Stegostoma tigrinum: one gene and its partners. The protein of the gene in region 1 purifies or fractionates together with the protein of each later gene. This does not show direct contact. Links are inferred from orthologs where the notes say so. Each region holds a gene or a part of one and is shown in the gene's direction. Other genes may lie near its edges. The genes, in order: alpha-soluble NSF attachment protein, vti1b, vesicle-trafficking protein SEC22b-like and vamp4.

Region 1 (7,357 bases):
CCAAAACACCATATGCTTTCTTAACAACCCTGTCCACTTGGGTGGCCATTTTAAGGGATCTATGTATCTGCACACCAAGATCCCTCTGTTCCTCCACACTGCCAAGAATCCTATCCTTAATCCTGTACTCAGCTTTCAAATTCGACCTTCCAAAATGCATCACCTCGCATTTATCCAGGTTGAACTCCATCTGCCACCTCTCAGCCCATCTCTGCATCCTGTCAATGTCCCACTGCAGCCTAACAGCCCTCTATACCGTCAACGACACCTCCGACCTTTGTGTCGTCTGCAACGTTGCAGACCCATCCTTCAATCCCCTCATCCAAGTCATTAATAAAAATTACAAACAGTAGAGGCCCAAGGACAGAGCCCTGTGGAACCCCACTCACCACTGACTTCCAGGCAGAATATTTTCCTTCTACTACCACTCACTGTCTTCTGTTGGCCAGCCAATTCTGTATCCAAGCAGCTAAGTTCCCCTGTATCCCATTCCTCCTGACCTTCTGAATGAGCCTACCATGGGGAACCTTATCAAATGCCTTACTGAAGTCCATATACACCAACCACATCCACAGCTCGACCCTCATCAACTTTTCTAGTCACATCCTCAAAAAACTCGATAAGGTTTGTGAGGCATGGCCTACCCCTCACAAAGCCGTGTTGACTGTATTTGATCAAGCCATGCTCTTCCAGATGGTCATAAATCCTATCCCTCAGAATCCTTTCTAACACCTTGCAGACGACAGACGTGAGACTTACTGGTCTGTAATTGCCGGGGATTTCTCTATTTCCTTTCTTGAAGAGAGGAATTACATTTGCCTCTCTCCAGTCCTCAGGTACGACTCCAGTGGAGAGCGAGGATGCAAAGATCCTCACAAGTGGCGAAGCAATTTCATTTCTCGCTTCCCAAAGCAGCCGAGGACAAATCTGGTCCGGGCCTGGCGACTTGTCAATCTTAATGTTTGACAAAATTTTCAGCACATCAGCTTCCTCTATCTCTATCCATTCCAGCATGCACACCTGCTCTTCAAAGGTTTCATTCACCACAAAGTTCGTTTCTTTCGTAAAGACAGAAGCAAAAAACTCATTAAGGGCTTTCCCTACCTCCTCAGACTCCACACACAAGTTCCCTATGCTATCCCTGATCGGCCCTACTCTTTCTTTGACCATTCTCTTATTCCTCACCTAAGTGTAAAATGCGTTTGTGTTCTCCCTGATTCCTTCTGCCAAGCCTTTCTCGTGCCCCCTCCTGGCTCTCCTCAGACCATTTTTGAGCTCCTTCCTTGCCTGCGAGTAATCCTCTCTAGCTGAACTTGACCCTAGCTTCCTCCACGTTACGTAAGCTACCTTCTTCCTTTTCACAAGAAGCTCCACCGCTCTTGTCATCCAAGGTTCCTTTATCTTACCCCTTCTTGCCTGTCTCAGAGGGACATATTTACTCATCACTCGCAACAACTGTTCCTTAAACAGTTTCCACATGTCTATAGTTCCCTTACCATGGAACAATTGCTCCCAGTCCATGCTTCCTGACTCGTGTCTAATCGCATCATAGTTTCCTCTTCCTCAATTAAATATACTCCCATTTTGCCTAATCCTCTCCTTCTCCATAGCTATGTAGAATGTGAGGCAGTTATGGTCACTATCACCAAAATGCTCTTCCACCACGAGATCTGATATCTGCCCCGGCTCGTTTCCGAGCACCAAGTCTAGAATGGCCTCTCCCCTCGTCGGCCTGTCAACGTACTGCGTTAGGAAACCCTCCTGAACACACCTTACAAAAACAGCTCCATTCAAATCTTCTGCTCGAAGCAGGTTCCAATCAATATTAGGAAAGTTAAAGTAACCCATTACAACAACCCTACTGCGTCCACACTTTTCCAAAATCTGTCGACCTATGCTTTCTTCAATCTCCCTGCTGCTATTGTGGGGCCTGTAGTAAACCCCTAACGAGGTGACTACTCCCTTGCTGTTCCTAATTTCCACCCATACTGACTCAGTAGGCAGATCTTCCTCGACAATGGAAGCTTCTGTAGCTGTGATCCCCTCTCTGATTAGTAGTGCTACACTCCCTCCTCTTTTTCCCCCCTCCCTATTCTTTTTAAATGTTCTAAACCCTGGAACATCCAGCAACCATTCCTGCCCATGAGAAACCCATGTCTCTGTTATGGCCACAACATCATAGCACCAGGTACTGATCCATGCTCTAAGTTCATCACTTTTATTCCTGATACTCCTTGCATTAAAGCAAACACACTTTAACCGATCCCTTGGTTCCTTTCCAGGAAAATCCTTCCCACTAGCTGGTCTACCTCTTGCTACTGCCTCACCTGCATCAACTCTCACCTCCGGTATACAGCTCAGGTTCCCACCCCGCTGCCATACTAGTTTAAACCCTCTCGAACTACTCGAGCAAACCTTCCACCCAGGACATTGGTCCCCTTCCAGTTCAGATGCAACCCGTCCATCTTGTACAGGTCCCACCTTCCCCAGAAGGCATCCCAATTATTTACATATCTGAAGCCCTCCCTCCTAACCAGTTGCGCAGCCACGTGTTCAGCTGCGCCCGCTCCCTGTTCCTCGCCTCGCTATCTCGTGGCACTGGTAGTAAACCAGAGAACACTGCTCTGTTCGTCCTGCTCTGCAGCTTCCATCCTAACTCCCTGAAATCACTTTTTATATCCTCAATCCTATTTCTGGCTATATCATTTGTGCCAATATGTAACACAATTTCTGGCTGTTCGCCCTCCCCTTTTAGAACCTTATACACCCGATCAGAGACGTCCCAGACCCTGGCACCAGGGAGGCAACATACCTTCTGGGAATCCCGATCCTGACCACAAAATCTCCTGTCAATTCCCCTAACTATCGAGTCCCCTACCACGAGTCTTTTCTATTCTGCCCCCTTCCCTTCTTTGCCACAGTGTCAGGCTCAGTGCCAGAGAACTGACTACTATGGCTTTCCTCTGGTAGGTCATCCCCCCCAGCAGTATCCAAAACGGTATACTTATTGCTGAGGGGAATGCCCACAGGGGATCTCTGCACTGTCTGTCTGTCCCCTTTCCTCCCCCTAACTGTAACCCATCTATCCTTGTCCTGAGCCTTAGGAGTGACCAACTCCCGGTAACTCCTCTCAATTACCCCCTCTGCCTCCCGAATGATCCGTAGTTCATCCAGTTCCAGCTCCATTTCCCTAACACGGTTTTCAAGGAGCTGTAGCTGGGTGCACTTCCCGCAGATGTAGCCAGCGGAGACGTGTGCCACGTCTCCCAACTGCCACATTCTGCAGGAGGGCCAAGCAACTGCCCTAGCATCCATACCCCACTTATCTGAACACCCACTCAGTACTAAAGTAGAAAGCTTACTTCTAATGATTATTTCTCTTTTGAAAGCCTTATTGAATCCACCTCCCTTTTTTAGACAGCTTATTCTAGATCACAACCACTTGTGCAGTTATAGACAATGTACAACAGGAAAACAGACCCTTTGGTCCAATTCATCCACATCGACCAGATATGCTAAATTAATCTAGTCCCATTTGGCAGCATTTGGCCCATGCCCCTCTAAATACTTCCCATTCATGAACACATCCAGATGCCTTTTAAAAGTCGTAATTGTACCAGCCTCCACCACTTTCTCTGGAAGCTCATTCCATATACGTGCTACCCTCTGTGTGAAAACGTTGCCTCTTAGGTCTCCTTTAAATCTTTTGCCTCCCAGCTTAAACTTATGCCCCTCTAGTTTTTGACTCCTTCACCCAGGGAAAAGACTTTCTCTATTTACCCTATCCATGTGCCTCATGATTTTATAAATCTCTGTTAAGGTCACCACTTCTTCCGACAGCTCATTCCATACATGCACTAACGTGAAAAAGTTACCCCTCAGGTCCTTTTCACTACGCCTTCTGGTTTTGGACTCTGCTAACCCAGGGAAAACACTTTGGCCATTCACCGTATCCGTGCCCCTCATGATTTTATAAACCACTATAAGGGACCCCTCGGATTCCAACGCTCCAGAGCCCCAGCCTCTCCCTACAGATGGGTATTCTATGGCAATCAGTAGATTCGCGTTCACCAATACTGAGAATAGCCTTTTATTCCAATTTTATTGAAATAAATCAATTTCCAGATCAATGGACCCAGCCTCTGAGTTGGCAGTCCTGTATCACAAACATTAATCTACCATTGTCGATTTGCAAATGGAGGTGAGATTTTGATCACCTTATTTCGAATAAAACAATCTCTTCCTCTTGCAGCAGACTGCACAGAAAGCTGAGGATGCTCTGAGCAAGTCTTCCCCACCCGGGGATCACGTGATGGGGCGGTGGCCCGGGGCGGGGTTTAAGGGCGGCGGAAGTGACGTCGGGAGAGTGGTCGCGGCTGGGGCTCGAGCGGCGATGGACAATTCGGCCAAGGAGCGGGAGGCAATGGGCCTGATGGCCGAGGCCGAGAAGAAGGTCCGCTCGGCCCGATCCTTCATGGCGTCCTTGTTCGGGTGAGTGGTTAATAAACATGCCGCCTCTTTGCGGGATGGTGTCTGAGCTGGGCCGGGCTGACCAAAGCCTGGGGGGGTGTCCCGGCCAGGGGCAGGGGCAGGGCTGACCAAACCGACCAAACCCTGGGGGGTGTCCCGGGCAGGGGCAGCGCAGGGCTGACCAAACCCTGGGGGGGCGGTGTGTGTGTGTGTGTGTGCGCGCTGGGCCGGGCCGGGCCAGGCCAGGCCAGGCTGAGCTGACCAAAGCCCTGAGGCGACTGGGCAGGGGTTTTGGGAATTTGGGGAGTGTCAGTGCAGGGGCTGGTTAATAAACCTGGGGTGGGTGGGGTGATGTTCCATGTAAGGGCCTGGTTAACACCCTCTGGGGAGGGTGGGAGAGAGATCTATCCAGGAGCAGGTTGATAAGTTTGAGGTGAGGGGTAGTCCTTGCAGGGCTAGGCTAATAAACACTGGTTGTCTGTTCTTGAACTGGTTAGTAAATGTACAGCCTACTGTGGGTCCTACAAGGCTGGTTAATATAAGCTTGCTGTTACTTTTTGAGCCTGATTTACATAGAACATTACAGTACAGTACAGGCCCTTCAGCCCTTGCTGTTGTTCTGATCTGTGAAACCAATCTGAAGCCTATTTAACCTACACTCTTCCATTATCATCCATATATTTATCCAATGCTCTTGAAGTTGGTGAGTCTACTATTGTTGCAAACAGGGCATTCCATGCCCTTACCACTCTGAGTAAAGATTTAACAAACACTAATGTCAGGTGTGGTTATTAAGCCAGGCCTTCAGTGGGTTATCTCATGTTTGCCTTTAGCTCTTGAGCCAGTAATCTAATCTGACAGGTCAACATTGCATATTGAGCAGTGTTGTTTCTTGTCTACAGTGCACACCCTAAGTTTTGTCTGCACAGTCGGATCTTCATGTTCTAATGGTGTGAATCGATCTGTAATTCCTATTTATAATGCTAATTGATCTTGTGTCTTGCTTTCTGTCTGTGTTGATTGTTGCTTCCATATGCTTGAGTGAATTCTTGGAAGTAACTGGTCATGAAATGCCCTCAAAGATGTGATACAGTTTGTTCCTGCTATAACAAATGGACTCAATGGACTTGAGTTCAGAAGCTCCTACGCATAATTATTGAAAGGCCCAGTGCCCCTCAAGCTTGACAGTGACAGGCTGAGGTTAGTGTGATAAATTCAGTAATTTGGATTAGGTTCATCTGTGGATGAATCTGCTGAATGCTCCATTTTGCAGCTGATCTGTTCCATAAATAAATTGTCTAATTTTTTTAATCCAGCCAATTTAGTTTAATAAACATCTTATCCCTTCAGGAGCCTAAAATCAGTGAGTGCCTTTTAAATAAAGTTGTATTTTATTGCTAAAACATTGCATTGGACAGTTTACCTAGGGAGAAGTTTTAATGATGATCAGGGATTAATTTGACGTCTCTTTTTTCCCTGACTACCTTGCAATAAACAAACACTTCAGCTCAGTTGACAGCCTGCATCAATGCTAGAGTTTTATTTGACAAGGAAATGTTGCAATTGTAGGGCTCCTATGACTTCTGGATTTATCAAAGAACATGATAGCCAACAACTGCTTTGTAGTGGCTATTGCAATTTTGGTCATGTAGCAGTCAATTTGCACACAGCAAGTCCCATTGCCAGAGGCAGTGGTTAGGTAGTAACATCATTGGACTAGTAATTAGTAACCCCATGAGCATTCACTAATGGCACCACACTGATGTGTATGTCCCCTCAGTGCTGCAGAAAAGTGCCTATGAAGATTGGATGGCCATGTCTCTAGATTGGGACACCTGTCCGTGATCTTTTGACTCTCCCGTTAACATGTTACAATTTTATTATGTGAACTTTTAAAGGAGCTTTGAACAGTGTGGAGGCCACAAGCTTTTGGTGATACAGTGGTGCAGCTGTCCTGTAATTCTGTCTCTGTCTCCTTCACTATATTGTCACTGAATCCATGAGCAGGTTGAAAACTATATGGAAGCTAACTATGAAAATGTAATTTTTGTCTAGTATTCAAGTTCCAAGTCTTTGGAATGTTGTGTACAGGAGAGATGCTGTATGAATTTACGTTGTGGTTTCAACAGTTTGGATGAGCCATGAATATAAGCTTGTATCTTGTTATTTGATTTGCAATTTTAGGACTGGATTCATCTCCTGAAATGTCAGCCATAATTATTTTTAATCTGTTACAACACATCTCCAGGCCGGTGAAATTTGAACCTCTTTGCCCAAAGGTAGGGGTGCTACCTGTGCATTACAGTGACCCCTAAAGTGAATTATATTCTTTTGTTCTTCTGAGTTGTCATTGGGGCACTTGGGACCAATGAGTTTGACAACCATTGTTTTGTTCTGTAGCAGTTATTGTCATATTCCAGTTTGTTTCTGCAGTTGAACAGTGATTTTTGAAATGGTTTTAAACAACTTTTCAATGGCCATCATTCCAATTAGCTAAAGTTGAATGGCAAACACTGGGCTGACGTTCATACCCACCTTCAATCATAAAGCACTGGCAGCAAGTTACATTTCATGGGCTACCATTCACCATCCAGTGTTAACAAAGTGTGGAGCTGGATGAACACAGCAGGCCAAGCAGCATCTTAGCACAAAAGCTGATATTTTGGGCCTAGACCCTTCATCTGATGAAGGGTCTAGGCCTGAAACGTCAGCTTTTGTGCTCCTAAGATGCTGCTTGGCCTGCTGTGTTCATCCAGCTCCACACTTTGTTGTCTCGGATTCTCCAGCATCTGCAGTTCCCATTATCTCTGATCACCATCCAGTGTTACCTGAATTGAGCATGTGAGGACACACTACAGTACTTAGCTGCTTTTGAATGCTGGTTACT
Region 2 (7,605 bases), on another chromosome or scaffold:
AGACTTATTGAGCATTAATCCCTCTTACTATTCATCTTGCTGCTCCCAAGCAATAATCTCAAAACTGTCTGAAAATTGGCTTGTCTCACTTCTCATGCTATTTTCCAGATTTCTCACCATGGCCAATGTTATTCAGATCTCCGTAAGACTCCCCCCCGCTCGTTCTCTTGCAGCTTGTTCAGTACTTAATTACAGAAAACTGAACATTAGGAGTTCCCAAGCTACATAATAAATAGTGCTGCATTAATAGTTTCCCCCAGTACAAAACCAAGGCTGTGTGGGAATAACACCTATTCTGCCGAACAGAGCGTGGTTAATGGTTAAATGGTTCACGTGGAAATGTGAAATAAAAACCATTTGTAAGATCTGGCTTTGCTGAACAAGATTAGTTTTGCTAATTAGTTTAAAGATCCCGACTGAAAGTAGTTAGGTTCAGGGAGAAGAATTTAGATCGGGTAACACCATTCACAAAGCTAAAGCTTCAAGTGGGGGAACCCCGCCCACGGCCGACGGAACCCCGCCCACGGCCGACGACCTCATCGCTCCGCCCACAACCTCCACAGCCTGCAACCCCAGAGGAGACAGCCACACTGAGCCCTGCCGCATCTTCACCATCCCCCCAGACCTCCCACTGACTGAGGACGAACGGTCAGTCCTTAGCAAGGGGCTCACCTTTGTCCCCCTACAACCACACATCAACGAATACCAGTCACGGTCGGACATAGAGCAGTTTTTCCGCCGTCTTCGCCTCCTTGCCTACTTCTTCAACCGGGAACCCAACCCTCCTTCCACTGACCCCTTCACCCGCTTCCAACACAAGTCCTCCTCCTGGACACCACCCCCCGGCCTCCTACCCTCCCTCGACCTCTTCATCTCCAACTGTCGTCGAGACATTAACCGCCTCAACCTCTCCGCCCCTCTCACCCACTCCAACCTCTCCCCCGCAGAACGGGCAGCCCTCCGCTCCCACCCCAACCTCACCATCAAACCCGCAGACAAGGGTGGCGCAGTGGTAGTATGGCGCACTGACCTCTACATCGCCGAGGCCAGACGCCAACTCTCCGACACCACCTCCTACCGCCTCCTCGATCATGACCCCACACCCGAGCACCAAACCATCATCTCCAACACCATTCACGACCTCATCACCTCAGGGGACCTCCCACCCACAGCCTCCAACCTCATTGTTCCCCAACCCCGCACGGCCCGTTTCTATCTCCTTCCCAAAATCCACAAACCTGCCTGCCCTGGTCGACCCATCGTCTCAGCCTGCTCCTGCCCCACCGAACTCATCTCCACCTATCTGGACTCCATTTTCTCCCCTTTGGTCCAGGAACTCCCCACCTACGTCCGTGACACCACCCACGCCCTCCACCTCCTCCAGGACTTCCAATTCCCTGGCCCCCAACACCTCATATTCACCATGGACGTCCAGTCCCTGTACACCTGCATTCCGCATGCAGATGGCCTCAAGGCCCTCCGCTTCTTCCTGTCCCGCAGGCCCGACCAGGCCCCCTCCACCGACACTCTCATCCGCCTAACTGAACTCGTCCTCACACTCAACAACTTCTCTTTTGACTCCTCCCACTTCCTACAGACTAAGGGGGTGGCCATGGGCACCCGCATGGGGCCCAGCTATGCCTGCCTCTTTGTAGGTTACGTGGAACAGTCCCTCTTCCGCACCTACACAGGCCCCAAACCCCACCTCTTCCTCCGGTACATTGATGACTGTATCGGCGCCGCCTCTTGCTCCCCAGAGGAGCTCGAACAGTTCATCCACTTCACCAACACCTTCCACCCCAACCTTCAGTTCACCTGGGCCATCTCCAGCACATCCCTCACCTTCCTGGACCTCTCAGTCTCCATCTCAGGCAACCAGCTTGTAACTGATGTCCATTTCAAGCCCACCGACTCCCACAGCTACCTAGAATACACCTCCTCCCACCCACCCTCCTGCAAAAATTCCATCCCCTACTCCCAATTCCTCCGCCTCCGCCCCCACGATAAGACATTCCACTCCCGCACATCCCAGATGTCCAAGTTCTTTAAGGACCGCAACTTTCCCCCCACGGTGATCGAGAACGCCCTTGACCGCGTCTCCCGCATTTCCCGCGACACATCCCTCACAGCCCGCCCCCGCCACAACCGCCCCAAGAGGAACCCCCTCGTTCTCACACACCACCCTACCAACCTCCGGATACAACGCATTATCCTCCGACACTTCCGCCATTTACAATCCGACCCCACCACCCAAGACATTTTTCCATCCCCTCCCCTGTCTGCTTTCCGGAGAGACCACTCTCTCCGTGACTCCCTTGTTCGCTCCACACTGCCCTCCAACCCCACCACACCCGGCACCTTCCCCTGCAACCGCAGGAAATGCTACACTTGTCCCCACACCTCCTCCCTCACCCCCATCCCAGGCCCCAAGATGACATTCCACATTAAGCAGAGGTTCACCTGCACATCTGCCAATGTGGTATACTGCATCCACTGTACCCGGTGCGGCTTCCTCTACATTGGGGAAACCAAGCGGAGGCTTGGGGACCGCTTTGCAGAACACCTCCGCTCAGTTCGCAACAAACAACTGCACCTCCCAGTCGCAAACCATTTCCACTCCCCCTCCCATTCTCTTGATGACATGTCCATCATGGGACTCCTGCACTGCCACAATGATGCCACCCGAAGGTTGCAGGAACAGCAACTCATATTCCGCCTGGGAACCCTGCAGCCATATGGTATCAATGTGGACTTCACCAGTTTCAAAATCTCCCCTTCCCCTACTGCATCCCTAAACCAGCCCAGTTCATCCCCTCCCCCCACTGCACCACACAACCAGCCCAGCTCTTCCCCCCCACCCACTGCATCCCAAAACCAGTCCAGCCTGTCTCTGCCTCCCTAACCGGTTCTTCCTCTCACCCATCCCTTCCTCCCACCCCAAGCTACCTACTAACCTCATCCCACCTCCTTGACCTGTCCATCTTCCCTGGACTGACCTATCCCCTCCCTACCTCCCCACCTACACTCTCTCCACCTATCTTCTTTACTCTCCATCTTCGGTCCGCCTCCCCCTCTCTCCCTATTTATTCCAGTTCCCTCCCCCCATCCCCCGCTCTGATGAAGGGTCTAGGCCCGAAACGTCAGCTTTTGTGCTCCTGAGATGCTGCTTGGCCTGCTGTGTTCATCCAGCCTCACATTTTATTAGCTTCAAGTGAAACACCTTTGATCCAATAAGGAACTAATCCTGAAAAGCAGTGACTGAAAAATCAGCCGAAACAGCAAGTAGCCAAAGTGAGAGGTATCTGAAATCCCAGTTCATCCCCTCCCCCCACTGCACCACACAACCAGCCCAGCTCTTCCCCCCCACCCACTGCATCCCAAAACCAGTCCAACCTGTCTCTGCCTCCCTAACCGGTTCTTCCTCTCACCCATCCCTTCCTCCCACCCCAAGCCGCACCCCCCGCTACCTACTAACCTCATCCCACCTCCTTGACCTGTCCGTCTTCCCTGGACTGACCTATCCCCTCCCTACCTCCCCACCTACACCCTCTCCACCTATCTTCTTTACTCTCCATCTTCGTTCCGCCTCCCCCTCTCTCCCTATTTATTCCAGTTCCCTCCCCCCATCCCCCTCTCTGATGAAGGGTCTAGGCCCGAAACGTCAGCTTTTGTGCTCCTGAGATGCTGCTTGGCCTGCTGTGTTCATCCAGCCTCACATTTTATTATCCCAAACTCATGATCTGATTATAAGTCCATGCCTTCTGCGTGCAGTACGTTGCAAATGTTGTACAATTACAGGGCAGTGGTTTCTGCGAACAAAAGATTGATTATGTAAATGACCACTTTGAAGGGTTTTATTTTTACAAGCAAAGTTTTATTCGGGTACAGAGAGAATGGGCTGATTTACTTAACCGCAGCAAATGTTCAGCCAAGAAAACAAAAGATGGTTAAAATACACCGGCAAGATGTACTTTCCTGCACAATCAATTCGAACGATTCCTCAAGGTACTTTGAAAATAATCTACAAAAGCCCAATTATTTTGCTTCTTATTCAAATAAACAGATTTCGTAAAACTGTATTCTGTATTGCGTGTTAGTTTAACGAATACAACTGAACTCCCAATTTGTTCGTGACAAATTGTAACATTTTTTCAAGGGGCTGGAACCCACATTACTAAGTAAAAGCCTGCTTACAGTTTGTAAAATTACATACAATTTAACTTTATCTTTACAGAGCCAAGAAGGGCTTCGAATTCATCCTTAGGCGAAAATACTGACCTGATATATGGGCCAAATGCTGCCAGAAGAGCAGCAATTGCAGAGATCCCAATGATGGTGAACAAGACCGGCATCTTCTGCAGGAAAGGGCTCGGCCAATCCCCGGGGAACCAGAAGCGGCTGGGACTACAACCCCCAGAATGCACGGGGCCACGCGGTCCGTCTCCGTCTCCTTCCCCCAACCCCCCGGGGCTTAAGAGACTCGGTTATTGCCCCTTTAGCGGGGAGATGACGATCTGAAAATGGTGGCTGAAGCAGTAAGTAACGATGTTGATAAAACCTCAGGATTTTGTGGTCGGGGATGGGGGATGTTGTTGTGTGTATATTGTCATGTGATTGCGGAAGGAGGCGGGGCTTGAAAAGTCGGACGTTGTGTCGCTGTCGGCTGTTTGTTTTGTACCAGATCGAGATTTAAATCACTTTAAAGATGTCATCCGAGGAGTTTGAGAAGATGCACGAAGCCTTTGGTAGTGTTTTCGAGGAACTGAGGTGTCAATGTGAGCGCCTGCCTAGATATTCAGGAGGTGAGACTGAGAAATGCTGCTTTTTCTTTATGAGGTTTGAGCGTAGGCCATTCAGTCCTTCGAGCCTGCTCTACCATTCAATGATATCATGGCTGATCTGACCCTTCTTACGAGAATTTCCCATTTGCTCCCCTTTAGGGAGACATTCCCTCTCACTGTGTACAGCATGTAATCAGCCCTCACCTCTATATGTTCTGCGTATAGCCCTGGCCTGTACTGGCCCTGCGTAGAGCACCAGTTTGCATGCTGTAAAGTCCAGCAATGAACACCCTTTTGGACTCCAGTTCCAGTTCAAAACTAGCTGTCACTGTAACTTTGTGAAATCATCAACACTGAAAATGATAGCCAAAACAGACGGCCCTTCCTCTCACTGGCATCTTTTCTCTGCTTTGTGATGATACAATGGCTTAAAAGGTTTATTTTGTCCTGTTTTTCTTTTATAAAGGAAGGTTGAGACTTAGGTGCTCAGTGGTCTGCTCAAAGATAATTAAACAGCTTGTGAGGACTTGGGTGTTTTTTTAAAGTTGGAGCAATAGAAGCAGGCTGAATGGGTCGGGTTCAACTCTCTCAGAACCAGGATTTTTAGTTTTAGCTTTCTGCAGTTGCTTGGGTCTTGTTGTTAGAATTGCATGTGAGACGATCTATTTGACTGAGTTTACCTTTCTCAACAGTATTTATGGGATGTTACTATATTTGGACAGTTAATTAGTAGTTAATACGTACTTTATTATTTAAGGCATTTTTATAGAGTTACAGTTAAGCCAATTCTTTCCTTTTCTTTTTATTTTGTCTGGACTTTAACTGTAGTGTAAAAATAAAGCATGTTTTCCTGAAAGTTGAATAGTTTGACCAATCGCATTGCATCTGGAACACAATGCCTTACACTTGCCTTTTTAAAATAAGAAAAAGTTGGGGTAGGCTATCTTATCAATATATTTTAAAGGGGTTTGGTCTGGCCGATAACACCTACAAACCATCTCTGACTTTATTATTTATAACCCCGAGATGGGTGAGATACTAAATGAGTATTTTGCAACAATGTTTACTGTGGAGAAGGATATGGAAGATAGAGAACTACGGGAAATAAATAGTGATATCTTGGAAAAGGGCTCATGTTACTGATGAGGTGGTGCTGGATGTCTTAAAATGGATAAATTCCCAGGATCTGATCAGGTAGGCTAGGGAGGTGATTGCTGGGCCCCTTGCTGAGATATTTGTATCATTGATAGCCACAGGTGAGGTGCCAAAAGACTGAAGATTGGTTAATGTGGTGCCAGTATTTAAGAAAGGTGGGAAGGAAAAGCCAGCGAACTGTAAACTGGTGAGCCTGACATCGATGGTGGGCACGCTGTTGGAGGGAATCCTGAGGGACAGGATTTACTAATATTTGGAAAGGCAAGGACTGATTAGGGATAGTCAACATGGCTTTGTGCGTGGGGAATCATGTTTCACAGACTTGATTGAGTTTTTTGAAGAAGTGACAAAGAGGAATGGTGTATATGGTCTATATGGGTTTCAGTGAGGTGTTTGACAAGATTCTGCATAGTAGACTGGTTAGCAAGGTTAGATTACGTACAGGGTGAACTAACCATGTGGATACAGACTGTCTCCTACCTTTGAGTCAGAAAGTGGTGCTGGAGGGTTGCTTTTCAGACTGGAGGCCTATAACCAGTGGTGTGCTGCTTTTCATTATTTTTATAAATAATCTGGATGTGATGCCACCAAATTCGTGTTTAGTGGACAGCCAAGAAGATTATTTCAGAGTACAACGGAATCTCAAACAGATGAGCTGAGATGTGGCAGATAGAATTTAATTGAGATAAATGTGAGGTACTCCTTTTAGTAAGACAAACCAGGGCAGGACTTACACACCTTAACAGTAAGGTCCTGGGGAGTGTTGCCGAAGAAAGAGACCTTGGAGTGCAGGTTCATTGTTCCTTAAAAATAGAGTTGGAGGTAGACAGGATAGTGAAGAAGGCATTTGGTACACTTGTCTTTATTGGTTAGTGTACTGAGTATAAAAGTTGGGAAGTCATGTGTTGGCTGTACAGGATATTTGTTAGACCACTTTTGGAATGCTGTATTCAATTCTGGTCTGAGATAATGAGAACTGCAGATGCTGGAGAATTCAGGATAACAAAGTGTGGGGCTGGACGAACACAGCAGGCCAAGCAGCATCTTAGGAGCACGAGCTGACGTTTCGGGCCTAGACCCTTCATCAGAGAGGAGGAACGGGGAGAAGATTCTGAAATAAATAGGGAGATGGGGGAGTCGGACTGAAGATGGATAGAGGAGAAGATAGGTACAAAGAAGAGTAAGGGTGAGGAGGTAGGGAGGGGATAGGTCAGTCAGGGGAGGATGGACAGGTCAAGGGGGCGGGATGAGGTTAGTAGGTAGGAAATGGAGGTATGGCTTGAGGTGGGAGGAGGGGATAGGTGAGAGGAAGAACAGGTTAAGGAGACAGGGACGAGCGGGGCTGGTTTTGGGATGCAGTGGGGGCAAGGCAGATTTTGAAGCTGGTGAAATCCACATTGATACCTTTGGGTGACGGGGTCCCCAGCGGGATACGGTTGCTGTTCCTGCAACCTACGGGTGGCATCGTTGTGGTGCTGCAGGAGGCCCAGGATGGACATGTCATCTGCGGAATGGGAGGGGGAGTTGAACTGGTTCGCGTCTGGGAGGTGCAGTTGTTTACTGCAAACTGAGCGTAGGTGTTCTGCAAAGCAGTCCCCAAGCGTCCGCTTGGTTTCCCCAATGTAGAGGAAGCCACACCGGGTACAATGGATGCAGTATACCACATTGG
Region 3 (7,539 bases), on another chromosome or scaffold:
CTTCGACCTGCTACAGCGAATGCAGGAACAGCGTATGGACGAGCAGCGGGCACACCTGCCTCCGGGACTGGCACCGAGGAGGGCAGCAGCCAGGGTCCAGGAGGAGAGGCGGCCCTCCATCTTCTCCCCTCTGCTGAAGGGCATGTCCCAACGCCGGGCCAACTCCAACTAGGTGGGCACCCCAGTGGCACAAGAGATCAAAAAGGAGTGGGAGAAGGAAACACCACACCCCTCCCTTCCACCTCCACACACTCACACACACACACAAACACACACTCACACACTCACAAACACACACACTCACAAACACACACTCACAAACACACACTCACACACACACACTCACACAAACACACTCACACAAACACACTCACACACACACACACACACACACTCTCACACACACACTCTCACACACACACTCTCACACACACACTCACAAACACACACACACAAACACACACTCACAAACACACACACTCACAAACACACACTCACAAACACACACACACAAACACACACACACACACTAATTGAGGTATACAAGATAATGAGAGGCATAGATAGAGTTGATAGCCAGAGACTATTTCCCAGGGCAGAAATGGCTGGCATGAGGGGTCATAGTTTTAAGCTGGTTGGTGGAAAGTATAGAGGGAATGTCAGAGGCGGGTTCTTTACACAGAGAGTTGTGAGAGCATGGAATGCGTTGCCAGCAGCAGTTGTGGAAGCAAGGTCATTGGGGTCATTTAAGAGACTGCTGGGCATGTATATGGTCACAGAAATTTGAGGGTGCATACATGAGGATCAATGGTCGGCACAACATCGTGGGCTGAAGGGCCTGTTCTGTGCTGTACTGTTCTATGTTCTATGTTCACACACACACACACTCAGTCAGAGATAGTAGGAACTGAACGACACACACACACACTCTCACGCAGATATGGACACACACACACACACTCTCACGCAGATATGGACACACACACACACACTCTCACGCAGATATGGACACACACACACACACACACACAGACACTCTCACGCAGATATGGACACACACACTCTCACGCAGATATGGACACACACACACACACACACACACACACACACACACACACACACACACACACAAAGACAGAACACACTGTGACAGGCACAGACACACACAGCAAAATTCACACCATCAGGCCCACACTGGGATGAAGTGGCACCAGTGAACTGACTGCAGTCTACAGTAAAACCAGGAAATATGACTTGTTATAGACTGCAACCCTACGTTCTGACCCTTCCCTTCCACCTTCGGCTGGTTCTTTCGACCATCGCCTCCAACCGGAGGCCTTGGCATGTCTTTGTTCAGGAATCGAGGAGCGCCCTAGGCCGGGGAGCGTGAGGACAGAGGAAGCGGCCCGTCAGCTGCAGGGCAATGGTGGTGAATCTGACTGTCCATCCATCAAGCCCGGGACAACAGCATGCAGACGGCAGACCACCTGAGAAAACTGCAGACGGACTGGCACCGGGTCCTGGCCCCTACGGGAATGAAAACATGTGACTGCTCAGAGCTGGGCTACTGCACACCCACCGCCCCCCCCCCCCCACCCCCCGAGGGGAAAATGTTTAACACGGGCCCGCTAACAGCAGGCCACCTCAATTCACTGTCACCCCGACTCCCGGCCCTGGCTCCTGCTTTTGCCCCCTCGCCAACCTCTCCGCCCAGCAATTCCATGGATCTGTAGTTAACCCTTTCCCCTCCCCGCCGCCCCCACCTTCCACCCCAGACCATCTCCTGTGAGGTGCAGCTTGTAACCCAATGTGTCGATCAGCCTCCGACCTCTGGTGATGACACCCTTTTGGCCAGGGCTGGCCAGTTTCTCCCCATGGGTCCTGAGTGCCTTGTTTCCGCGCAGGAGGCACCACACAAATGCAGGACTCAATTGCCAAGTTCCTCCCCAGCCCACACACCCTCACAAGCCCCTCCAGTGGGTACGGGCATGGTCGGGGCGGGATTACGCCAATGTCTAACTCTATCCAGTCTATCCACCACCAGTGTTGGAGGCCGGGGAGGGATACAGGGAAAAAGGGAGTGCTGGGGAATGCCACCCTCCCATCCACATCCCTCTTCGGTACCGTCAGGAAGCATTGTGACTTGGCCCCTGCCCCATTCGGAGCATGGCGTCAGTGTGGAGTGGATCAGGCACATGCCAGTTAATCTGGCAGAAGTCACTAGCCAGGCCAGCATTTTACTGCCCTAGTTGCCCCCTGTCTGAGAAGGTGGGTGAGGGTGAGCTGCCATCTTGCACTGTCGCTGTGGGTCGACCCGCAATGCCCCGAAGGAGGGAATTCCAGGATTTTGGCCCGCTGACAGTGAAGGAACGCTGACATATTTCCAAGCAGGGATGGCGAGTGGATCTGAGGGGGAACTTGCAGATGGTGGGGTGTTTCCATCTATCTTCTGCGTGAGACAGAAGTGGTCGGGGGTTCGGAGGGTGCTGTCTGAGGATCTTTGGTGAATTTCTGCAGAGCATCTTATAGATGGTACACGCTGCTGCCACGGAGCGTTGGTGGGGGTGGGAGGGGATGGTTCAGGATGTAACGTCAATCCTAGGGCTGTTTTCTCCTGGACAGTGTCAATATGCTCAAGTATTTTTGGGGCTGCAATCATCCAGGCAATTCAGTGTAACAGTGTGAAATAAAACTGAGATTGCTCCCACTTTTATCATCGTCACGTTGTGTGCTTTCTCTCTTATCGGTGGTCTCAGAGGGGTGCGGGATCCCCTAGTCGGGCCGATGGTTTACAGACACCCACCTGAACATAAACACCAACAAAAGCACCTCGATTCGCATCGAACCTTCTGCAAGCGTTAGTTTGAAAGGGCAAAGTGTGGGCCCACCTTGCCACGTCACTGTCAGCTCAGGAACCTGCAGGATGCAACTGGCATTTGACCAGGACACCTGCTGTGTGACAGTATCTATTGGCAGGGCAGGCTCAAGGTCGGCCAGTCGGGGGAGCTTTTCTCATGGCCCACTCCCTCCTGACACCCCCCTCCCTGAAACCCTTTTCTCCTGTACCCCCCTCTCTGTTTCTCTTGCCCCTCTCCTGCACCCCCTGTCCTTCTCCTGCCCCATCTCTCTGTCCCATCTGCCTCTCCACTGCCTTCTCTCTCTCTCTCTCCACCGCAACTCTTTTCTTCTCTCCCTCCTCTCCCTTGTCCTCCTCTATACCTCTCCCCTCTGTCCTCTCTCTCTCCTTTCTCCCTCTCCAAACCCCCCACCCCTCCCTTCTCCCCAGCCCAGTCTCCTCTGAGCCCTTTCTTTCACCCCCCCTTCTCATTCCTGACCCCTCACTCTCACTCCCTCCTCTATCCCTCTCCACCCTCACTCCTCTCTGTCCCCACTTCTCCCTCCTCTTTCTCCTTTACCCATCTCTCCGTCTCTCTTGCACCCTCCTGCCCTGTCTCTCCTTCCTGCCCCCATCTTTCTCTCTCTTGCCCCCCCTCCTCTATCCCTCTTCCCTCCATCCTCTCTCTCCCTTCTCCCCTCCAAACTCCCGACTCCTCCCTTTTGCCCCCTCTCCTTTGAGCCCCTTCCTTCCCCCCCCCTCTTCCTCCTGCTTCCTCACTTTCACTCCCTCTTCTATCCTTCTTCCTCTCTGCCCTCCATCCCGCCCCTCTTCCTCTTGCCCCTCTCCCTCCACCACCATTTATGCTCCTGACCCTCCTCTCTCTGTCCTGCCCCTGCTCTCTCCATCTCTGCCGCTGACCCTGCTCTCCCCTTCTTGCCCTCCCACTCTGCCTCCTGCCCCTCCTCTCTCCCTCCTGCCCCTCCTCTCTCGCTCTATCTCTGCCTCTTCCCCTCCTCTCTGCTTTCTGCCCCTCCTCTCTCCATGCCCCTCCTCTTCTCCCTCCTGCCCTCCCTCCTTCCCCTCCTCTCTCCCTCTCTGCTTTCTGCCCCTCCTCTCTCCCTGCCTATCCTCTTCTCCCTCCTGCCCTCCCTCCTTTCCCTCCTATCTACCTACTGCCCTTCCTCTCTCCCACTCTGCTTTCTGCCCCTCCCTCCTTCCCCTCCTCTCTCTCCCTCTCTGCTTTCTGCCCCTCCTCTCTCCCTGCCTATCCTCTTCTCCCTCCTGCCCTCCCTCCTATCTACCTACTGCCCTTCCTCTCTCCCACTCTGCTTTCTGCCCTCCCTCCTTCCCCTCCTCTCTCTCCCTCTCTGCTTTCTGCCCCTCCTCTCCCTGCTCATCCTGTTCTCCCTCCTGCCCTCCCTCTCTCCCTCCTACCCTCCCTCTCTCCCTCCTACCCTTCTTCTCCCTCCTATCTACCTACTGCCCTTCCACTCTCCTTTCTGTCCCTCCCCCTCTCTGCATCCTGCCCCTCCTCTTCTCCCTCCTGCCCCTCCTCTCTCTCCCTTCCCTCCCTCTCTCCCTCCTCTCTCTCTCCCTGCCCCTCCTCTCTCCCTCCTGCCCCTCCTCTCTCTCCCTTCCCTCTCTCCCTCCCCTTCCTCTCTCCCTCCTGCCCCTCCTCTCTCTCCCTGCCCCTCCCTCCCTGTGTGTCCCTGCCCCCTCAGGCTGAGGGGAGGTGCTGACGCGGAGCTGCAGCGTGGAATGAGCCACGTCAGTCAGTGTGTCCCTGGGGCTCCCAGAGTTTCCGTACGGCCGCTGTTTGCTCTCTCTCTCTGACACCTTCCCTCTCTCCATCTCTCCTACACTCCCCCAGCAGCAGCATGATCCTGATGACCATGATCGCCCGGGTGGCGGACGGGCTGCCTCTCGCCGCTTCCATGCAGGAGAATGAGCAGGTAAAGGGGGCGGGTGGAGGGGAGTGTCAGGGAGCAAGGCAGAGAGAGAGAGAGAGATCTTCCTCTGTCTCGCACGCTTTCTTTGACTGTGTCTAGCTGTTGTTCAGCTTCTCAGGGCTAAGGAGCTCTATGTGAGCACACACACACATCTGGGTTTGCATGGAATATAAGGACAAGTCAGATTAGTTCAGGGCCTATTGAGAAAGAAGGGGAATTGGCTGTGTGAATGCCATCCAGTATACACACACACTCTCTCTCTCTCACACACACACACACACACACATACACACTTGCCTCTCAGCTGGGAGTTTGCATTGCTAACAGTCCCATATGCCCTGTTGATATTGCCCTGGAGGTGGTGTGATGGGGGGGAGGAGGAGGGAGGGCTGGGGTAGGGTTGGTACATGTGGCATTGTTGTTTTGCCAGCATTGTGACACCCTGTGCCGCCTGGGAATTTGCGGCCAGGTCACACCCTCCTACAGTGCCAGCACCGAGCATTGCAGCCTGTCAGCCCTGCGTTTGCTCCAAAGAGCCGTGTTCTCTCTGAGGGTTGTTTGGAAGTGTTTGGAACTCCCTGCCCTGGGGTTTGGGGTTAGAGGTTGGGGAACGGCAAGCTGGGAAGAGTCCTTGTGAGTTTAAGGGGTGAGGTAGATGGATTCTTCATCAGCAAGGAAATCGTGGGTTTTGGGGAAAGGGCAGAAAAGCCGATAGGAGGAATGTCGGATCAGCCATGCCGTGCAGAAACAGGCCATTCAGCCCATCAAGTATGCACCAACCTCGCCAAAGAGCATCCCACCCAGACCCACCCTCTACCCTATCCATGTAATCTGCTAACCCAGCGAGCCTACACATCCCTGGACACTGTGTGGTCAATTTAGCATGGCGAATCCACCTAGCCTGCATTGCTTTGGACTGTGGGAGGAAACCCCCACAGACATGGAGAGAATGTACAAACTCCACACAGTTAGCCACCCGAGGATGGAATCAAACCTGTTTCTATATACAAACCACCTAAACCCCTCAATTAAATTCCAGTCTGTACCTCACCCCCCCCCCCCCCCGTATCCATTATTCTATACATAAACCATCCGAACCCCTCGATTAGATTCCAGTCTGTAACTCACTCCCAGGTATCCATTATTCTATACATAAACCATCCGAACCCCTCGATTAGATTCCAGTCTGTAACTCACTCCCAGGTATCCATTATTCTATACATAAACCATCCGAACCCCTCGATTAGATTCCAGTCTGTAACTCACTCCCAGGTATCCATTATTCTATACATAAACCATCCGAACCCCTCGAATAGATTCCAGTCTGTAACTCACCCCCAGGTATCCATTATTCTATATATAAACCATCCGAACCCCTCGAATAGATTCCAGTCTGTAACTCACCCCCAGGTATCCATTATTCTATATATAAACCATCCGAACCCCTCGAATAGATTCCAGTCTGTAACTCACTCCCAGGTATCCATTATTCTATATATAAACCATCCGAACCCCTCGAATAGATTCCAGTCTGTAACTCACTCCCAGGTATCCATTATTCTATATATAAACCATCCGAACCCCTCGATTAGATTCCAGTCTGTAACTCACTCCCAGGTATCCATTATTCTATATATAAACCATCTGAGCCCCTCGATTAGATTCCAGTCTGTAACTCACTCCCGGGTATCCATTATTCTATATATAAACCATCCGAACCCCTCGAATAGATTCCACTGTGTAACTCACTCCCAGACATCTGTTATTCTATTTATAACCAATCTGAACCCCTTGATTAGATTCCAGTCTGGAACTCACTCCCGGGTTAGAACATAGAACAGTACACAGTACAGGCCCTTCGGCCTACAATGTTGTGCCAACCTATAGTCCTACTAAGATCAATCTACCCTGCATACCCTACGTTTCACTGTCCTCCATGTGCTGATCCAAGAATTGCTTAAAAGTCTGAAAAGCTCCACAGTCATTGCCGACAGTGCATTCCACACACCCACCACTCTTTGTATGAAGAACCTACCTCTGCCATTTCTCCTACACCTTCCTCCAGTCACCCTAAAATTATGCCCCCTTGTAATAGTAATTTCCACCCTGGGAAAAAGTCTCTGGCTATCCATTCTATCTATGCCTCTCATCATCTTGTACACCTCTATCAAGTCATTTCTCATCCTTCTTCGCTCCAATAAGAAAAGCCTGAGCTCCCTCCACCTTTCCTCATAAGACCTGCCCTCCAGTCCAGGCAGCATCCTGGTAAATCTCCTCTGCACCCTCTCTAAAGCTTCTACATCTTTCCTATAATGAGGTGACCAGAACTGAACATAATATTCCAAGTGTCGTCGAAATAGAGTTTTATAGATTATTGTAGATTTTATAGTTTATTTAAAGATTTGTAGATTATCCAGTATTGTATATATAAAGAAGCCTGTAACTCTCACCTGGCTATCTGTTATTCTAACCCCTCAATTAAGTTCCGGTGGAGCATGGTGAACCTTCCATGCCATTGAAAAGCCAGGCCCTCAATGAATGGTCCAGGATAATGCACTCACCAGACTGTGCATTAGTGCTGTGCTCTCACCCAGGAACTCTTGTCCAAATTAATACATGCTGTTTTTTCACCCCTGCCACGACTCATACCTTGCTATGTGAGGAACGGGACGATATAGTGACTGTGTGGTTGTCTCAAAGCCAGGCTTCAGGAGGACTGCATGGTGCTAAAGTGTGTTCCTGGCTTCAGGA
Region 4 (7,439 bases), on another chromosome or scaffold:
ATGGTGAATATGAGGTGTTGGGGGCCAGGGAATTGGAAGTCCTGGAGGAGGTGGAGGGCGTGGGTGGTGTCACGAACGTAGGTGGGGAGTTCCTGGACCAAAGGGGAGAAAATGGAGTCCAGATAGGTGGAGATGATCCCAGGCCCCAAGATGACATTCCACATTAAGCAGAGGTTCACCTGCACATCTGCCAATGTGGTATACTGCATTCACTGTACCCGGTGCGGCTTCCTCTACATTGGGGAAACCAAGCGGAGGTTTGGGGACCGCTTTGCAGAACACCTCCGCTCAGTTCGCAACAAACAACTGCACTTTCCAGTCGCAAACCATTTCCACTCCCCCTCCCATTCTCTAGATGACATGTCCATCATGGGCCTCCTGCACTGCCACAATGATGCCACCCGAAGGTTGCAGGAACAGCAACTCATATTCCGCCTGGGAACCCTGCAGCCATATGGTATCAATGTGGACTTCACCAGTTTCAAAATCTCCCCTTCCCCTACTGCATCCCTAAACCAGCCCAGTTCGTCCCCTCCCCCCCACTGCACCACACAACCAGCCCAGCTCTTCCCCCCCACCCACTGCATCCCAAAACCAGTCCAACCTGTCTCTGCCTCCCTAACCGGTTCTTCCTCTCACCCATCCCTTCCTCCCACCCAAAGCCGCACCCCCATCTACCTACTAACCTCATCCCACCTCCTTGACCTGTCCGTCTTCCCTGGACTGACGTATCCCCTCCCTACCTCCCCACCTATACTCTCTCCACCTATCTTCTTTACTCTCCATCTTCGGTCCGCTTCCCCTCTCTCCCTATTTATTCCAGTTCCCTCTCCCCATCCCCCTCTCTGATGAAGGGTCTAGGCCCGAAATGTCAGCTTTTGTGCTCCTGAGATGCTGCTTGGCCTGCTGTGTTCATCCAGCCTCACATTTTATTATCTTGGAATTCTCCAGCATCTGCAGTTCCCATTATCTCTTCCAGGTGCTGTGTAGTTTGGCCCAATATAGAAATCACTGATGAGCAAAACCACATGAGGTTACAGAACAATGACCAGCACTCTCATTCTCATCATATATCATGTCAGCAGCCTGGCTTCCACAAGTCTTCATGAACCTGAACAAAACAGTGCAGTCTTATTTGCAAGATTTAACTTACTGATGAGTTTGTTGAATTAGTATCCCTGTAAGTTTTCGAAAGAGTATGAAGACTTTACAGGCTGCTTGAAACATACATGCTGACTTGTTGAATTAACAGTTATAATGTGAAAATGTCAGTTTTGGCATTATTAATTGACCTCATTTTTTTAAAAAAAAGCACACGAATGTGTTTCATTTAGTAGTGAAAAACAGTGAAATGTTCATAGTTTTCATAAGCTCGCATTTCTACTAATTCCTTTTTTGCAGAGGCAACTTGAAACAGGTGTGGTGAGAATATTAGATGGTCAGTGGCCTATGAAGTTTGCAGCAAGTTGCTGCCCTGTTAAGCTACAGAAGGAGGAAAAAGCAGTATCCAAGTAAACAAAATCCAAGTGAAATGCTACAATGTGGAAAGCAAAGATAACAATCCCGTCAGCTTCCCTCCCTCCCATTCAATCATCCCAACTTAATTCCCTCAGCCTCCTTCCAAATGCACCAAACTCCCCCTTCTATTTAGAACAAGAACAAAGGACAAAGAAAATTACAGCCAGGAACAGCCCTTCAGCCCTCCAAGCCTGCATCACAACTAAAACCCCTAACCCTTCTGGGGACCGTATCCCTCTATTCCCATCCTATTCATTTATTTGTCAAGACGCCCTTTAAAAGTCACTATAGTATCTGCTTCCACTACCTCTCCTGGCAGTGAATTCCAGGCAACCACCACCCACTCTGTTAAAAAAAGCTTGCCTCGTACGTCACCTTTAAACCTTTCCCCTCACGCCTTAAACCCATGGCCCCTGGTAACTGACTGTTCCACCCTGGAAAAAAAGCTTCCGGCTGTCCACTCTATCTATGTCCTTCATAATCTTGCAGACCTCTATCAGGTCGCCCCTCAACCTCCATCGTTCCAGTGAGAACAACCCAAGTTTCTCCAACCTCTCCTCATAGCTAATGCCCACCATACCAGGCATCATCCTGGTAAATCTTTCCTGTATCCTCTCCAAAGTCACCACATCCTTCTGGTAGTGTGGCGACCAGAACTGAACACAATATTCCAAATGTGGCTTAACTAAGGTTCTATAAAGCTATAACATTACCTGCCAATTTTTTCAATGCTCCGGCCAATGAAGGCAAGCATGACGTATGCTTTGTTGACTACCTTTTCCACCTGCGTTGCCACTTTCAGTGACCTGTGAATCTGTAAACCCAGATCCCTCTTCCTATCAGTACTTTTAAGGGTTCCGCCATTTACTGTGTATTTTCCATCTGGATTAGACCTTCCAAAATGCATTACCTCACATTTTTCTGAATTAAACTCCATCTGCCATCTCTCCGCCCAAGACACCAACTTATCTATATCCTGCTGTATCCTTTGACGGTCCTCATCACTATCCACAATTCCACCAAACTTTGTGTCTTCAGCAAACTTACTAATCAGACCAGTTCCATTCTCTTCCAAATCATTTATGTATATTACAAACAGCAAATGTCCCAACACTGGTGCCTGATGGACGCCACTAGTCACAGCCCTCCATTCAGAAATGCACCCTTCCACTGCTACACTCTGTCTTCAGTGACTGAGTCACTTTTTTATCCATCTTGCAAGCTCACCTCTGACCGTGTGTGACTTTACCTTCTGTATCAGCCTGCCATGTGGGACCTTGTCAAAGGCCTTACTGAAGTCCACGTAGACAACATCCACTGCCCTACCCTCATCGATCATCTTTGTCACTTCTTCAACCAAGTTAGTGAGACACGAACTCCACTTCACTAAACCATGTTGCCTTTCACTAATATGCCCATTGATCTCCAGGTGGGAGTGAATCCAGTCTTGAAGAATCCTCTCCAATAATTTCCCTACCACTGAGAGATGGCTGTAATTAGCTGGATTATCCTTGCCAACTTTCTTAAACAAAGGAACAACATTGGCTATTCGCCAGTCCTCTGGGAACTCCCCTGTAGCCAGTGAGGATACAAAGATTTCCCTCAAGGCCCCATCAATTTCCTACCTTGCTTCTCTCAGTTTTCTGGTGCATATCCCATCATGCCCTGGGGACTTGTCTACCTTAATATTTTGCAAGACCCCCAATACCTCCTCCCTTTTGATCTCAACTTGATCCAAACTATTTACACACCCTTTCTCGGACTCATCACCCACCAAATTCTTCTCTATGATGAATACTGACACAAAGTACTCATTTAATACCTCACCCATTTCCTCTGGATCGACACAAAAAATCCCTTCCCTTTCCTTGAGTGGGCCAACCCTCTGCCTGGCTACCCTCTTGTTCTTTATATATCTGTAAAAAGACTTGGAATTTTCCTTAATCCTGTTGGCCAATGACTTTTCATGATGCTTTTTAGCCCTCCTGACTCCTTGCATATTTCTCCTTCTTTTCCTCTGACATTCCCAATTGTCATATTCCCAAACATCTTCCTATTCCCTCTCCTAACTTTCCCTTCCCTCCCGAATACTCCCTCACCCAATTCCGCCCACCTCCCTCTCATGCAATTCCCCACCCTCCCAAATCACCGTATCTCAATTCCCCCACTGAGTCCCCAACTTCCTCCCTTCTGATTCTCCCTCCCCCCAATTCCCAACCCTAGAGGAGACAGTGGCATAGTGGTAATAATACTGGTACACCAGGCTAATGCTCCAGGGGCACAGGTTTGATCCCTCCATGGCAGATGGTGAAATGTGTACTCTAGTAAAAAGTTTGGAATTAAAAGTTGGTGTCTGATGAAGGGTCTAGGCCCGAAACGTCAGCTTTTGTGCTCCTGAGATGCTGTTTGGCCTGCTGTGTTTATCCAGCCTCACATTTTATTATCTTGTAATAATGCCCACGTTGGTTATGGCTATGTTGAACCTTTAACTTCATTTTTCTACCTTTATACTCATTTGTCTGGTTTATTTCTGGTTTTTGTTTAAGATGGCACTGAAGAGTGGCGACATTATACAGCACTTTTCACCATATTTGTAACAAGTACATGGAACAAATACCCTTGACAATAAATAAATCAATGATACTAATGCCATTTCGATTGCCATAAAACCCCATCTGGTTCACTCATGTCCTTTGTAACTCCAGACCCATACCAATGAGGTTCACTTTCAAATGCCCTCTGGGTAATTCGGGAGGGTGGGGTAGTCTGTGGGCTGCCATTGATGCTCACATCCCAGCCACAAATAAAACTTACCTCCTTGTCACTCCTCATCCGTCCTGCCCCCAGGTTGACCATCCCTCCCACATGACATGATTCTCTCACTTCCAACCCCTCCCCCACAAAGCACACCGTTTCCATGGAGACGGGGGGGCGGGGCTTGTGTCGGTCCGAGGCCGCACTCTGCTGCAGCTCCCGGGGTCCAGAGAGAGGGGGAGGGAGAGAGTGCGAGTCCGGGCCAAGGCCCAGAAACATACAGAGAGAGAGTGATTGAGTGAGTCTAGGCCAAGGCCCAAGGCGAGATAGTGTCCAGGCTAAGGCCCCGAGAGAGACCAGGCCAAGGCCCGGGGCCCCGGGAGAGCGAAGCCGAGCTGACACAGTCAACCCGGGAGTGGGCGAGAGACACCAGGCCCTAGAGGCGGCTGGTGGAAGGTAAGGATGAGGCCCCGGACCGGAGGATCTGTCAGTGGGTGGGAGGACGGACGGACCGTGCCCCCACCGCCTCTTGGTCTCCTATTCCCGGGTCACAGAGAGCTACCCCACCCCAGGTCACAGCCCTACCCTCTTTAGCTTCCCACCCTCTTTTGCCCCACCCGTTACAGCCCCACTATTCCTGGGAATGCAGAGAACCACCTCAGCCCTGGTTGCAGCCCCACCATCCCTGGGGTAATGGAGAACTGACCCCTGCCTTGAGGACGCAGAGTTCCTGCTCCTACCGTTACAGAGGCCACCTCCCTCCCCAACCCCCGCCAATGCCTGCTGTTGGTCACCGAGGCTTGTACGCCCTGAGTTTATGTTACTGATCCAAATGTCTCCAAGTCACATAGCACAGAAGAGGCCCATCAAGCCTATGCTGACCTGTCTACACCTAATCCCAATTTCCAGCACTTGGCTGTAGCGCCTTGAATCTTATGACATTTCAAATGCACGTGTTTTGAGGCCTGCAGTCATTTACACTAAAATAATCAGAGGGTTAGATAGGGTGGATTGGGAGAGCCTTTTTCCTAGGACGGTGACGGCGAACATGAGGGGGCATAGCTTTAAATTGCGGGGTGAAAGATATAGAAGAGATGTCAGAGGTAGTTTCTTTACTCAGAGAGTAGTAAGGGAATGGAACGCTTTGCCTGCAACAGTAGTAGATTCGCCAACTTCAGATACATTTAAGTCGTCATTGGATAAGCATATGGACGTACATGGAATAGTGTAGGTTAGATGGGCTTGAGATCGGTATGACAGGTCGGCACAACATCGAGGGCCGAAGGGCCTGTACCGTGCTGTAATGTTCTATGTTCTATGTTCTATTTCAGAAATGGGAATCCAAGTCATGGGCGTCATTTATATTTTGGGATCCGAGGATACATATGTTATGATGTATATCCTCGGTCGTAAAGCACAGGTCCAACCAGCCTGTGCTGACCATAATCCTAAACTAGTCTGACCTGCCTGCACTTGGCTTATATCCTTGCAATGATTTCTTGTTTGTGTATTTGTCTAAATGTCCTTTAGATGTTGTAGCTGTACTCACACTCACCACTTTGTCTGGAAGTTCATTCCACACACACCACTCTTTTTAAAAAAAAATTGCCCTCATACCTTTTTAAAATCTTTTTTCTCTCAACTTAAAAATATGCCTCCTAGCTTTGAAATCCCTGACACCAGGAAAAGACACCTGCCACTCACCTTATCTGTCCCCCTTATGCTTTTATAAACCTCTATAAGGTCACTTTTCAACTTCCTACCCACTGTAAATGCTTGACCAGTGTTGGCTGTAGTGTAGAGAATCTTCATTTCTCCAATACTGAGGTGAGCTCTATACCTGCTCCTGCACTATTAACCTGGTGTCGCTAGGATCAATCTTAACCCCCTTAATTTGTAATCCCCATGATGCCCCTCTGTGATATAATCGGAAAGCATAATTTTAGATTTAATACAAGTGCAGCCTTCATACTCAAAACATCCAAAACTCTGCCTCTTGTACCCTAAGTTGTGCCAAATACTTAACACAGTGCTGACTTTGGCTCCCAGTGACACCTTGATTTTAAAATTCTCATCTTTGTTTTCAAATTACATCATGGCTTCATTCTGGCCTACTTCTTGATCCCTTTCAGCCTAACAGTCCTCCAAGATATCTCTCTCTCTCCAATTCTGGTCTCATTTTAACTCAGGCCAGTTTCAATCGCTTCACCGTTGTTAACTATGCCTTTAGTAGCCTCTGTGCTGAGCTCTGAAATTTGCCCCTGAAATCTATCACATTCTACCTTGCCTCCTTTGAGAGGCTCCTTAAATCTATATCTTTGCTTACATTTTTCACTATGCCTCATTATCTGGCTGAACTACAAACTTTGCAAGATAATATCCATGTGAAATGCTTTGGAATGTTTTACTCGATTCAAAGTGCTGCAGAGAGTTGCCATGTAAAACAAGTTGTTGCTTATTGCATCAGAATGTGCAAGGAATCTTTACAATCAATGAAATGTTTATGATGTTTAGTCACTGTTATATTGTAGAAAATGCAGCAATTTGCAATACGAAGATCCCATAAACTGCAGTTTGATAATGACCAGATATTCTGTTTCAGTGATGTTGTTTGAGGGATATGTACTATTTGAAAGCGTGCCATGGGATATTTTGAGAAAAGGACTTTTTAGTTTTGCCAGCTTTTCTCCTGAGATGCTAATAATTATTGGAATATGGTTTCCAATCAAGTCAGTGAAAGTTTGCAGGTGGGTTTTCTGTGGAGGACAACCTAGCTGAGTATGACCCTGTTTTACCTGACCTCTATGTATACACAATTATTGAGAAGACTGACCAAATAGTAATCAGTTGTAAGTCCTCTGGCAGGCTGTATCTGCAACCTCTCCTCACAAGTCCATGGAACCGAAACCAACTGTCAGAGTGCTATTGCAATTTAGGTTGTTTGGCCCACCTCAGACCAGGGTTTGAAGCTGGGTTTTCTAATCTATAAAGTTAAAAAGCTGTTGATGGCAATGCACGTAATGTTGTAAATGTTCAGGCCAATTGCACTGTTTATTTGACTTCAAGCAGATTCTGCTTTATAACAATGTTACATGTGCAGAATAACAAGCCACAAGTTTGGAAAGTGTGTGAGAATGATCTTCTGCAGGAGTTGTCTGGCGCTGCTT

The links.
Region 2: the proteins of alpha-soluble NSF attachment protein (region 1) and vti1b purify together in Homo sapiens (affinity purification with mass spectrometry; 3 studies listed by BioGRID and IntAct, counting the BioPlex papers as one, with this or other methods). This does not show direct contact. The link is inferred for Stegostoma tigrinum from reciprocal best matches to the Homo sapiens genes NAPA and VTI1B.
Region 3: the proteins of alpha-soluble NSF attachment protein (region 1) and vesicle-trafficking protein SEC22b-like purify together in Homo sapiens (affinity purification with mass spectrometry; 3 studies listed by BioGRID and IntAct, counting the BioPlex papers as one, with this or other methods). This does not show direct contact. The link is inferred for Stegostoma tigrinum from reciprocal best matches to the Homo sapiens genes NAPA and SEC22B.
Region 4: the proteins of alpha-soluble NSF attachment protein (region 1) and vamp4 purify together in Homo sapiens (affinity purification with mass spectrometry; 3 studies listed by BioGRID and IntAct, counting the BioPlex papers as one, with this or other methods). This does not show direct contact. The link is inferred for Stegostoma tigrinum from reciprocal best matches to the Homo sapiens genes NAPA and VAMP4.

Annotation. Positions count from the first base shown.
Region 1 is NC_081392.1:15,156,703-15,164,059, forward strand, and holds the start of alpha-soluble NSF attachment protein, read left to right. Parts: upstream 1-4,339; 5' UTR 4,340-4,393; coding exon 4,394-4,491; intron 4,492-7,357. UniProt on the Homo sapiens protein: Required for vesicular transport between the endoplasmic reticulum and the Golgi apparatus. Together with GNA12 promotes CDH5 localization to plasma membrane.
Region 2 is NC_081363.1:69,072,990-69,080,594, reverse strand, and holds the start of vti1b (vesicle transport through interaction with t-SNAREs homolog 1B), read left to right. Parts: upstream 1-4,603; 5' UTR 4,604-4,705; coding exon 4,706-4,802; intron 4,803-7,605. Other genes in the region: rdh12 (retinol dehydrogenase 12), read right to left, coding at 4,279-4,352. UniProt on the Homo sapiens protein: V-SNARE that mediates vesicle transport pathways through interactions with t-SNAREs on the target membrane. These interactions are proposed to mediate aspects of the specificity of vesicle trafficking and to promote fusion of the lipid bilayers.
Region 3 is NC_081387.1:19,111,151-19,118,689, forward strand, and holds the start of vesicle-trafficking protein SEC22b-like, read left to right. Parts: upstream 1-4,537; 5' UTR 4,538-4,716; coding exon 4,717-4,791; intron 4,792-7,539. Other genes in the region: uncharacterized protein LOC125467682, read left to right, coding at 1-172. UniProt on the Homo sapiens protein: SNARE involved in targeting and fusion of ER-derived transport vesicles with the Golgi complex as well as Golgi-derived retrograde transport vesicles with the ER.
Region 4 is NC_081361.1:32,182,264-32,189,702, forward strand, and holds the start of vamp4 (vesicle-associated membrane protein 4), read left to right. Parts: upstream 1-4,428; 5' UTR 4,429-4,728; intron 4,729-7,439. UniProt on the Homo sapiens protein: Involved in the pathway that functions to remove an inhibitor (probably synaptotagmin-4) of calcium-triggered exocytosis during the maturation of secretory granules.